3 linked regions of the Drosophila melanogaster genome follow. The protein of the gene in region 2 purifies or fractionates together with the protein of the main gene of each other region. This does not show direct contact. Each region holds a gene or a part of one and is shown on either strand. Other genes may lie near its edges. The genes, in order: CG4849, l(1)10Bb and Bx42.

Region 1 (3,754 bases), on a different chromosome or scaffold from region 2:
AGTGTATATATGGTCCACCTTTCGCTTGGCATTTTCCAAAGGGGATTTAATGTGCTCCACGCACATATCCACAAAACCGCTGCAGTCGCCCATGAAGCGGTTACAGACGAGACGCAGCAGTGGTCTTATATTGGACTTCATCTCCTCCTTGGAGACGCGCACATTCAGCTCGGCCAGAGTGTCCGACAAAGTGGTGTCCACATCGCCAACCACCTGGGCTATCAGCTTGTACATGGGCTCCAAAATGAACTCCACAAAGCTGCGCTGTGCCGAATTGTGCGGCTGCTTCTTCGAGAACTTGCGCCTATTAAAATAGTTGGTATTAGCAAATGATTTGGATATTTAGGCAGCACTTACGTTTTACTGTTGAAGTACATGTCACCCCAGAGCCGCTTGGCAAAGTCCAGGTAAGCCACTCCCTCATAGGTGTCTGCATACAGCTTGGCAAAGGATTTCAGAGTGAAACAAAATCCGTACAACGAGCTGGCGAAGCACACGTTGCCCAAAATAGGCGAAACTAAGAGATTGTCATCTGGAGCGCCATAGGTGCTGTAAGAAAATTACACATTAGTAAAATCATTAGTGTTGAGTATGAATCACGTAATCACCTCAGCAGCCCATTGACTTCCTCCACAATGTGTTTCAACTTAAAGTAGGCGTCCTGGGGCGGCAATTTCAGCTCCAGGATGAGGCGATCAATCTGCACGTCAGAGGAAACCATTAGAAAGTTTAGTGTCACCTTAAGGCCAAACCCTCACCTTGTTTATGCAAACGGTGATAGCCTGGCGCTCTTGCACCGCGTGCTTGAGCAGTCGCTCCGTGTTGAGCATGACGCCCTCGGCGGCATCGATGAACAGCACGACACCATCGCTCATTCGCATGGCGGCGGTGGCCTCGTCCGAGAAGTTGACATGCCCCGGGGTGTCGAAGATGTTCAGCAAGTAGCTCTTCTGTTTGACATCCTGCAGGACAAGTGTGACCGGCGTGGCCTTGATGCTGCAGCCGCGTTCCTGTTCCGTGAACAGGGTGTCCGTGTAGCGCAACTGGCGCTCCTCCATGGTCTCAAATTGCGGATGCGTCTGCCGGATGAGGCAGTCGACAAAGGTGGTCTTGCCGTGGTGCAGGTGGCCAACCAAAGCCACGTTGCGAATAAGCGGCGGAGTGTCCATGAGATCGGCCATGAACTCCATGTCGTAGGTGGTCTCCTGCATGTCTTGCTCCTTGATCTGGAACTTGAGCTTCTTCACTGGCTCTATAAGCGGCTTGTCCAGCGGCTGGGCGTCCTCCTCCTGGACAATGGTCTCCACATCCGGGCCGTAGACCTCAACTGCTGACGGATAGTAGCGTTTGTCCTCGTGCAAAACCACGGCGGTCACCTCCTTGTCCTCGTCCTCCTGTGGCTCCACCTCGTCCTCGTCCATGGCGTCCTTTAAATGAAACACCATAAATTAATTATAAGTTTTATTTTATTTTTTGCACGTTTATACCTCTGGGTCATCCTGCACATCGGGTTGCCCATAAATACTTTGCTCATCTTCCTCGTCGCTGTCTAAATCGGGGCCAATATAGTTGCCAAACTCATCGTACAAATCGGAATCCATGGTTTTTCCTAAAATAAATATATATATCAATACTTTCATTCAAAATTTGCCGGTGGCGTCTTAGAAAATTTAAAACTTTCACGGTGACTCGAAACTTATGCTACTCTTGTTTTTTGTTGTTTTTACCGACTTACCAATTGTTACAGGACCTTCTGATTGCTAAATTCTTCTTTAAAACGTAAGAAAACTGCAAATAATATAATTATTCACAATTTTTACACAAAAACGCGGACTGCAAACACGCTGTTCTTCTTCTTCCCCGAAAAACACTCAGCTGTTAAGCGGCCGGCATTACCTACGGCATTGCCAGCACAAATAAAGTAAGCGCTTGCAGCCCTGGCGGCAACATTTGAATTTTCCAGTTCATTAGGGCTAATTAACGTTTTTGCCAAGAAAGCAGGTAGCTAAAATACGCGTTGAAACGTAGGTAGACCCTTGCGTTTATATTGCACTGCAGTCGCCAAAGGTAATTAGTCGAAAGTGTCAACCGAAGGTATCAGCATCATAATGAGAAAATTCTGTTTGCTTCTTTTAATGGCGCATTTTGTGGCCTCAAGCCGAAATTTAAACGATATTCTCGGTCGCGAGGAGTGGATTAGCATAGCCAAGGAATACATCAAGAACCACAAGCCTTACAAAGCCAAAATCTACACACCCTACAAGCCGCGCATCGTAAATTTTACCAATCCGTTCGATGGAGATTTTTGGGACACAACTACGGTGGCCACCAATCCGCAGGAGACTACTGGCTACTTCACTGGGGAAGTATCTACTACAACGGAGAAAAGTGCCACTGAGGAATCTACAACTACGGCGGTGGATTATTCAACCACCGAATCTAGTTATGTAACTTCAACCACGGATACTTTATATTCCACGACAACAGCTTGGCCGGAAGTCACCAGCACAGATGCTATAGATGCCACTGAATCAGTAGCCCTATATTCCACAACAACTTCGAGTCCAGAAGCTGCAGATTCAACGACAGAAAGCAATTCAGACAGTACTGAATATGCTGAATCAACGTTAATTTATCCAGATTTATCTACAGGATGGCAAGAAACTACTACAGAAACCATTCAGAGCTCTACAGGATTGCAGGAATCAACAACAACAGAGTTTATGCCAAGTACTACGGAATTTCCGGAATCAACGACTACTTTAAGTTCTGAATTTTCAGAGAAAGAACTAATAAAAACTACCACAGAAATAGAAATCAATCCAAGCACTACAGAATTGCCGGAATCAACGACTGAATCTGCTGATTCTACCACAGAACCGAACGAATCCACGTTTGCATTATCCACAGATCAAACTACAACTGAAACAGCAGAAACTTCAACAGAAGAATTGTTTTCAACCACAGAAACCCAGGAATCTACTACATCCTTGCTGGAAATCATTGCCACGACTCCGGGCGTGGAAACTACCACGTCGTATCTGGATGCAGTGATTGACAGCACCGAAGAGGAAAGTTCTACATTATCAACACCATTTGGATTTAATTTAACAACAACGGAAATAGTAGAAACTCAAGTAGAAACCACAACACCAAGGCAATTGAATTTCGTCGAAGATTACGTTCGCCAGAGACCGAGAAAATTGAAGTACTCTTCGGACACGGAGCCGGAACTTTACTGGTACTGAAAATGATTGCAAATAAAAATTAAGAGTTTGATTAAAAATTTTTAGAAGCAAAAATTAAGAGTTTTAATTTAAATAAAAACGTAAAGCAATTGGCAACGCGATTTAAGCTATGGCTTATTTTAAACTAAGAAACGCGGTCACACTGGCCAAAAGCCAAACACATTGTTGTTTGATTTTTCAGCAGAAATTTTTTATTTTTTATTAGTTTATATCGTAAACATGAGTTTGTCCAGCATAAAACAGAAAGAAGCTAAGGGCAAAAAGAAATTGCTGCCCAAACTGCGCAATATTCTAGCCAATCCTTACAAACAGCACAGGTGAGGCGGGCAGAAACCAATAAAAACCCAATCAACAGGTTGTTTCTTTTGACTTTAGCCCTCTTTTATCGGAGGAGGAAGTGCAGCAGTTCCGTCAGATCCTTCAGAATGCAATTAAAAGCAGCGACGGGCAGACCAAATCGTTTGCCACTCGATACGGAATACATCTCGGCCTGGAGAGCTCCCTAC
Region 2 (3,669 bases):
GGCATTAACCATTTGCCATGTGAACAATAAAATCGACAGCGCCGCGTTTGTTTGGCAAATGAGAAAATATGCAGACAAGTATAATTAAAAAACCATTTATAATCATTTTCGACCAAATCCCAATTGGCCACCCAAAACCAAACCAAACCCCGCAGGAACACTTGAAGCCTGACAGTTTTCAGCTTGAGAATAAGTTGGGAATGCCGATGGCCGGAATACTCTAGCTGAATTGGATGACTCAAGGAAATATGTATATACTCTTATTTCTATATACTCAAATGTTGAACTAGGGCTTCCATTTTCGGACAATAAAGAAACACTATACCCTTAGAAAGAGTACTGAAAATCGAGGAGCAAGGCGACGATAAATGGACGCACATGAAGGAGACTCCGCCACATCCCCGAAAACGACATTGAGTTTGAATTATGTCAGCGCAGCAATAAATTGTCCAAGGCATTAAATTAAAATATATGTATGTATAGTATATATCGTTTAAAGAAAAGCTGTGAAATCATTAGAAGGACGTACGTAAATTGCATATTTTACTACAGAAATTTTCACAACTCACATATTGAGATGGCTAGATTATAAAAAAAGGAATATATTTAAGTTAATATTCAAAACTCCACTTCGACATATGTAGGAAATTTAATTTATTAAATGCTTTTAAACATTTTCATAAATTATAATCTTTATTTATTTGATTAAACTACAAGTTAATTTCTATCTTTTCTATACATTCTAATACAAAAATGTCTGCTCATACCATTTCTACATTTTTTTTTAAACAAATCGGAACGCATTTCCCAACGATGCCTTGTCGTTTACATAATCGGTTTATTGCAGCATCTATTTAGATGTTTAGCATGCCATTAACCATAATTGTGGCTTGTATTTAAATGTATTTACATACTATGAAGAAATCAGGCGAAATCTAAAGTTGAACCTACTGAACTATGTATTATGAGGATTATTTGTGTCGAATAAAGATGCCAATAATGCGTCCACATGGAATCTAACCGGAGCAGCCGCGACAACCGCAGTGGACACACTCAACGATCCGACCCTCTTCCAGTTTGCATTTGGGCACCCGGCATATGCAGTTCGTGCCGAAATTGGTGTCCCTCGTTTGAATGCAGCGCAGGCAGCATAGGTTCTCGTATCCAGACTTCTTCCACTTGGCAATCAGATTGCCATCGGCAATCTTCTCCTTCAGACAGTAGTCGTACAATTCCCGGCTGATGGCTTTCCGGCGATAGAATAGATCGTAGATGTATCGTGTCTTCTGGTGGTGGATCTTGAAAATGGGCCAAAGGGATTCCGTAATGCGTTTGCCCTCGTGCGGTTCCGTTTCGGCTGTTTAAGAAGGTTAATAATATACGTATAGGATTATAGTAAAGTTTTCATTATCACAGAAGCCGCCACGCTTGTCCTTACCTTCGCGCATTTTTTGCTCCAGTTCCTCGAGAGTTGGTTCGATCAGCTCCCAACCGTCTGGCGGTGGTTTGCGACTGCGGCGAACCTTGGGCATCTTAAATGTTCAATTTATTTAACTGTAAAACTGTTTAATTTCTCTTAAAAATGCTTAATTTTGCTTGAAAAACAAACATTTCACAAACAGCTGGCTACTTAGCGATGACACTTTCCACATGGGCTGTCCACAGCATCAAACGGTTATCGAACACTCACTATCGATAGGCCGTGTCTAAGCCGATTGGCGATAGCACTTTATTGTTTTTGTTGTTTTCCTTTTGGGAGACGCGTGTGTGTGTTTTGCGTGTGATAATTTATTTATTTTCCCGTTCCGTTTGTTTATGCACTGTAATTTAGATTCAGTTTTTAGCACAGGCGCAGGAGTAAGTAAAAATTAACATAAAAACAAAAACCAACAACAAAGCGAGTAACAATTTGTCGAAGTGAGTGCGCAAAAGTGCTGTGCTTGTGTGTGTGAGTGTAACACTTAAAAAATGGTCTAAAAAAGCAAGAGATTCATTCATAAAAAATGCAACAACAAAAGGGGGTCGCCAAAAGAAGTGGAGCGCATAAAGATGTGGTGACTAGAGGGAGAGACAAGCAGAGAAGAAGGATCAGTGACAACAACAATAACATCAATAACAATTTGGCCTTCGCCTATTGCTAGCGCCCTCTCGCTCCCACACGACCACCCGTGCAATCAGCGCCCACATAACGGACCTACGTTTTGGTGTTACTTTTCATTTTTGTGCTACTTGTTGTTGATTTTTTTAAATGTGTGTTTATGTGCAATTCTCGCCCAAATTCTTTGTATTATTTAGTGCTTGGCACAACAAATAACCAAATAAACTGAACTATTAAACAACCCACACAATTGCAATTGCATATCCACCCCCCAATTCGCACTGAACGCGCGTGTGTGTGTGTGTGGTTGTGTGTAATGAGCGCAACAAATCAGTTTTGTTTTGTTTTTTTTTTTTAATTTGCAAATTCCCCGTTTTTTGTGCGCTCTAAAAGTATGTACATATGTGCAATGAAACAACAGTCACCGCCAATAAGCAATATCCCCACGTATGACCCATTGTTTATCTTAAGAAAAGCCAAAGACTTTCACACACTTATCGATAAGATAAAATTTAAGCTAAATACAATGGCTAGTAGATAGTTCTTTCTCACTCGCCGTATGCGACAGTTGCGGCCAACATAATATAGCCAGCTGGCTATTATTAAGCGGACCTACTATTTTCGTCACAGGCAACTTCATACTCACAAATAAGTATGCTTAAAAACATTTTCTTTTACAATATGATTCATAATATATCAGACATGCGTATAAACAAATAAAATAGTTGTCGTACAAGTCATTGGATGATGATCTCGCTGTTTTACATAATGATATTTGCTTACGTTTAACGGTGAGTCAATGCCAAGCTGCTATTACAGTGCCCACCGCTGTAACCTGCATAACAACAGCCGTTAATTGAGGCGCAAATATTTGTAGTTGTCTCCCCCTCTTTGTGGCGCTTCGCGTGCGGTGGGGAGCGGGGTGGAGCTCCGAGTGACAGGGCATTGGCTTTCGTAATTGACGTCTGCCCTTGACCAAGGCCTAAAAGCAACAGTGAAATCGGCTTCACTGGAATGGAAACCGCGATCATAAGCAGAGCCATTGTTCGTGCAAGACTTAAGCCGTTCAAACGGCTGAAAACCAATATCATACTATATTTTTGACGTCTTTGCAATGCTTCTTGGCACAGAGACACAGTGCGGGGCGTTTAAATAGAACCACTTTGTAGCAAAATATAGAACTATAAAACTCGACTATATGCCTCAAACAAGATTTAATTTAATTTATTATATAATATAATTTGGATATATTTAATAGAAGAAAAGCTCTTCTAGTCTTAGTACTGCTATAATTCTGATAATATCAGACCTTTTTACGTAGTTTTCACGCACCCAATCATATTTTTCTGGTCAGACTGTAAATTCGTAATTACTTTCCACTTAGTTTCACTAGTTATTCAGTTTACTTGGGCTTACATTATTCGAGAGACGCCAATTAGACCGCGTGATACGCTTTCCCATGCGATTTTAGACGTCACAGGTGCAAACAATGGGAATTAAGGTCAGGCTGTAGGGACTTTTAGCGTATCTGAGCACAAAGATCCCCCTTCGCATCGATATAAACTGATCAC
Region 3 (3,754 bases), 2.2 Mb from region 2:
TTTTAGTTCATTTTCATTTTCCTCCGCCTTTGCTTTTTGGTGGCACACACAGCACTTATCTATCGGACTGATAATGGTAATAATAATGCTCCCCCCGCCGTGAGAACACCACAATCCCGTCTGTTTGCTGGTTGTTTCTTTCCGCGGTTCGGTGTCGTTCGGTTCGGATAAGCGGAGCCCCATTGACAACCGCCATATCGAGGTGTACTACGAGTGCAGTGCTGTTAGATAAAGAAGCGACTCTCCCGATTTTGGTGGACCTCGAATCGCCCACACACTTTGTGGCTAACGATTAACCATAACAGCTGCGAATGGATTCAGTTTTATTACATTTTTGGCATCCAAATACCCATGTATCTGGGTTATTAACAGAACAAAGTACTTCTTCAAATACATCTTCAAGTACTTCTGAATTTATAGTTCTTGCACTTAATTGGCTAATAAGCATTGCGTTCTTTGTTATTCTAACAATAGTATTTGTAATTCGTTGTCCTATGCAGAAGTCTCACAGCTTTCTAACATTGTTTTCCTCATTTTCTCAGCAGTAGTTAACCGAAAAGAAAGGTCTTTGCAAATAATGACAACGCATCTTTACAATTGGTATCTCGCAATCTCGTCTGGCTAATTACAAATAAGCGTTATCCTAAGCCCCTAACTTACAAAAGTACATGTCTAATTAAAGCCAGTGGAGGGCCGACTACCAGGCCCAGATGTCTTCTGCTTGATCTTCTAATCGTTTTCCCGCGGCGGCCGCACCACCGCATGTCGTTTGATGGCCTCCACCAGCCACTTAATGCCCTCGTCCACGCCCTCGCCGTGCAGCGCGGATACGGGAATGGTGAGGCAATCTCGCCGCCCGATTAAAGCACCCGCCTGCTGGAAAACTGGCTTGATCTCCCGCACGCCCATCACATCCGGCAGATCCTGTTTGTTGGCCAGGATTAGCAAAGGCACTCCGGACAGCAGTTCGTTCTTGATCATCTTGTCTGTGGGGAAAGAGAATAACACATTTTAGGTGAACCTTTTTCCTTTTACCAGAGATCATCAGAATAGATCAAAACGAGTTTTGTTCAAGGGATTAGTTCGAAGACTGTTTTCGCTTACCAAATATCGCTTTGGACTCTTCCATGCGCTCCCTGTCGTTGGAATCAATCACGTAGATGACGCCATGCGACTCCTGGTAGTACTTATCCCAGAGAGATTGCAGCTCCTGCTGGCCACCAAGATCCCAGAAGTTGAGGCGTACGCCCTGCACGTCGATGGTGCCGATGTTGAGGCCCACCGTCGTCGTGATCTTGCTCGGATTGAGGCCCTTATAGTTACGCGTAAACGTGGTCTTGGCGGCCTCCAGGTAAGTCTACGTGGGCACAGGTGTTAGTTTCCGATTGGACATGAGGCTTTCATTGGATGATTCAGCTGCCTACCGTTTTGCCAGCATTGTCCAGGCCCAGGATTACCACGCAGTAGTCGTCCTTCTGAGTCATGTATTTGTAGAAGCCGTGCATCAATGTGTACATTGTATTGTGTTTTTGGCCAACAAAAACAAAAACTTAAATTGTTGACTGAACTGCTAGCGATGGCACTGCCAGCGGCTAGGGCGATGCGATAGTATCGATCGGGCAAGTGTCACTTATATCTATCTAATTATTAGGGGGATGTCTATAAATTATATTTTTAAGTATTGCACAGTTCTGTTAAGGTAATAAAAATAAATTATTCAAATTTTCTCTGATTGCCCCTGATTTTTATAAACCATATTGTAGTATTTTGATAAGAACATTCGAAATAATGGTCCAAATATGGAATGTCATACCTCGTTAAGCTCGTAATAAAATTTCAAATCAAACTGTGTTCAAAAATGCAAATTCAATTTTTTGACCATTTTTTGCAAATTTTGATGATGTTTGATGACCATTACCAATCCACTACCGATTCGCGTTCAAATTTGGAAAAAGCTATCGCTTTGTTATTTCTACCAATTTGGTTTTCTTACGTCTTAAGAAAAACGCAATATATGCAATCCATCCCTAAAAGGGACCATACTCTATAGCATTTTCTTATTAGCAGTCTGGCAACCCTACACACCCGTACGCTTGTGTGTGTCCGTGTGCGTGCGTGTTTTTTTTTTCGACTTTTCCATTATAGTTTTTGTGGCTTGCATATTGAAAAGTGATTTCACATAAGAATTGATTCGCCACAAATAACAGATAAGCTATGTCGCTATCAAGCCTGCTGCCCACGCCGACGAACGCGATCTGGGATCGGGAGGACGAGCGTCGCCTGGTCGCCCGCGGAGCACCAAAGATCGGAGCCCTGGTCTCCGCCAAAATCGCTGCTCCGCCGTACGGACAGCGTAAGGATTGGGTACCACATACGGATGCGGACTTTGGCGATGGCGGCGCCTTCCCGGAGATCCATGTGGCGCAATATCCACTAGGTGGGTTCCCGTTCGTGCTAATCCCACTTTCTCTGTGCTTGCAAACAATGTTGTCGCGGTTTTTCGTTGGTAATGGTGTCCTCGTAAGGGAAATAACCATTAGCTTCTTATATGTGGGTGATTGTACAGCGAGAAGGCTTCAATTTCCACCACATTAAGTTAAACGTTTGCTGTAGAATGTTGTATTTTTGTATTTTATGATCAGCATTTTGAAGCGTGGCTTATTCAATTGAAACAATTTCTGCGTCTTCTTCATCTTCTCGACAGGTCTGGGAGCACCAGGAAATGTTGGCAAGAAGTCGGATGCTCTGGCCGTTCGCCTGGACGACAAGGGAAAGGTTAAATACGATGCCATAGCACGCCAAGGACATGGCAAGGACAAGATTGTGTACTCGTCCATTTCGCAACTGCTGCCGGCGGAGGTGTTGGCCGAAGATGCGGATGAACTACAGCGCCCGGACGAGGAAACGGTGATGGAGACGACGGAGGAGACGCGCCTGGCGCTGGAGAAGCTGACCAACCAGAAGATCACCTCAGCGCTGCCCGTGCGCCATGCCCAGAAGGCGGGTCCCGCCCAGTACATTCGGTACACGCCCTCGCAGCAGGGCGATACCTTCAATTCGGGCGCCAAGCAGCGTGTCATCCGGATGGTGGAGGCGCAGCTCGATCCGATGGAGCCGCCCAAGTTCCGCATTAACAAAAAGATTCCACGAGGTCCACCATCGCCGCCGGCACCTGTCCTCCACTCACCATCGCGCAAGGTGACGGTCAAGGAGCAAAAGGAGTGGAAGATCCCGCCCTGCATATCGAACTGGAAGAACGCCAAAGGTGCGAGCTAATGTAAAACTAGAATCCTCTTCATTATCCTAATTAAATCTTTGCCTCGATATCAGGTTACACCATTCCACTGGACAAGCGTCTGGCAGCCGATGGACGCGGTCTGCAGCAGGTGCACATCAACGAGAAGTTCGCCAAGATGGCCGAGGCGCTGTACATAGCCGATCGCAAGGCGCGCGAGGCGGTGGAGGCACGCTCCCAGCTGGAAAAGAAGCTGGCCCAAAAGGAGAAGGAGAAGAAGGAGGATATGCTGCGTATGATGGCGCAGCGGGCTCGCGAAGAGCGAGCGGGACTACGCAATCCGGAGGCAGCCGAGCCATCTGGTTCCGGAGCTACAGGATCCGAGGTGCGTGAACGCAACGACTTGCGGGCAGAGCGGCAAAGGGAGCGCCAGCGGGATAGAAACCTGCAGCGGGCGGCTCCCGAAAAGCGATCGAAACTGCAGAAGGAGAGGGAGCGTGACATTTCTGAGCAAATCGC

What was found.
Region 1: the proteins of l(1)10Bb (region 2) and CG4849 purify together in Drosophila melanogaster (affinity purification with mass spectrometry, with the first as the bait; one large-scale study listed by BioGRID). This does not show direct contact.
Region 3: the proteins of l(1)10Bb (region 2) and Bx42 purify together in Drosophila melanogaster (affinity purification with mass spectrometry, with the first as the bait; one large-scale study listed by BioGRID). This does not show direct contact.

The regions. Positions count from the first base shown.
Region 1 is NT_033777.3:27,961,535-27,965,288, reverse strand, and holds the start of CG4849 (uncharacterized protein), read right to left. Parts: upstream 1,875-3,754; 5' UTR 1,736-1,874; intron 1,610-1,735; 5' UTR 1,602-1,609; coding exon 1,488-1,601; intron 1,428-1,487; coding exon 759-1,427; intron 701-758; coding exon 609-700; intron 550-608; coding exon 358-549; intron 305-357; coding exon 1-304. Other genes in the region: CG31131 (uncharacterized protein), read left to right, coding at 2,109-3,248.
Region 2 is NC_004354.4:11,323,654-11,327,322, forward strand, and holds l(1)10Bb (lethal (1) 10Bb), read right to left. Parts: upstream 1,656-3,669; 5' UTR 1,533-1,655; coding exon 1,439-1,532; intron 1,358-1,438; coding exon 1,017-1,357; 3' UTR 641-1,016; downstream 1-640.
Region 3 is NC_004354.4:9,104,908-9,108,661, reverse strand, and holds the start of Bx42 (Bx42), read left to right. Parts: upstream 1-2,057; 5' UTR 2,058-2,214; coding exon 2,215-2,437; intron 2,438-2,704; coding exon 2,705-3,265; intron 3,266-3,330; coding exon 3,331-3,754. Other genes in the region: Arfrp1 (ADP-ribosylation factor related protein 1), read right to left, coding at 730-986, 1,105-1,357, 1,425-1,517. UniProt on the Drosophila melanogaster protein: May play a role in chromatin structure and function.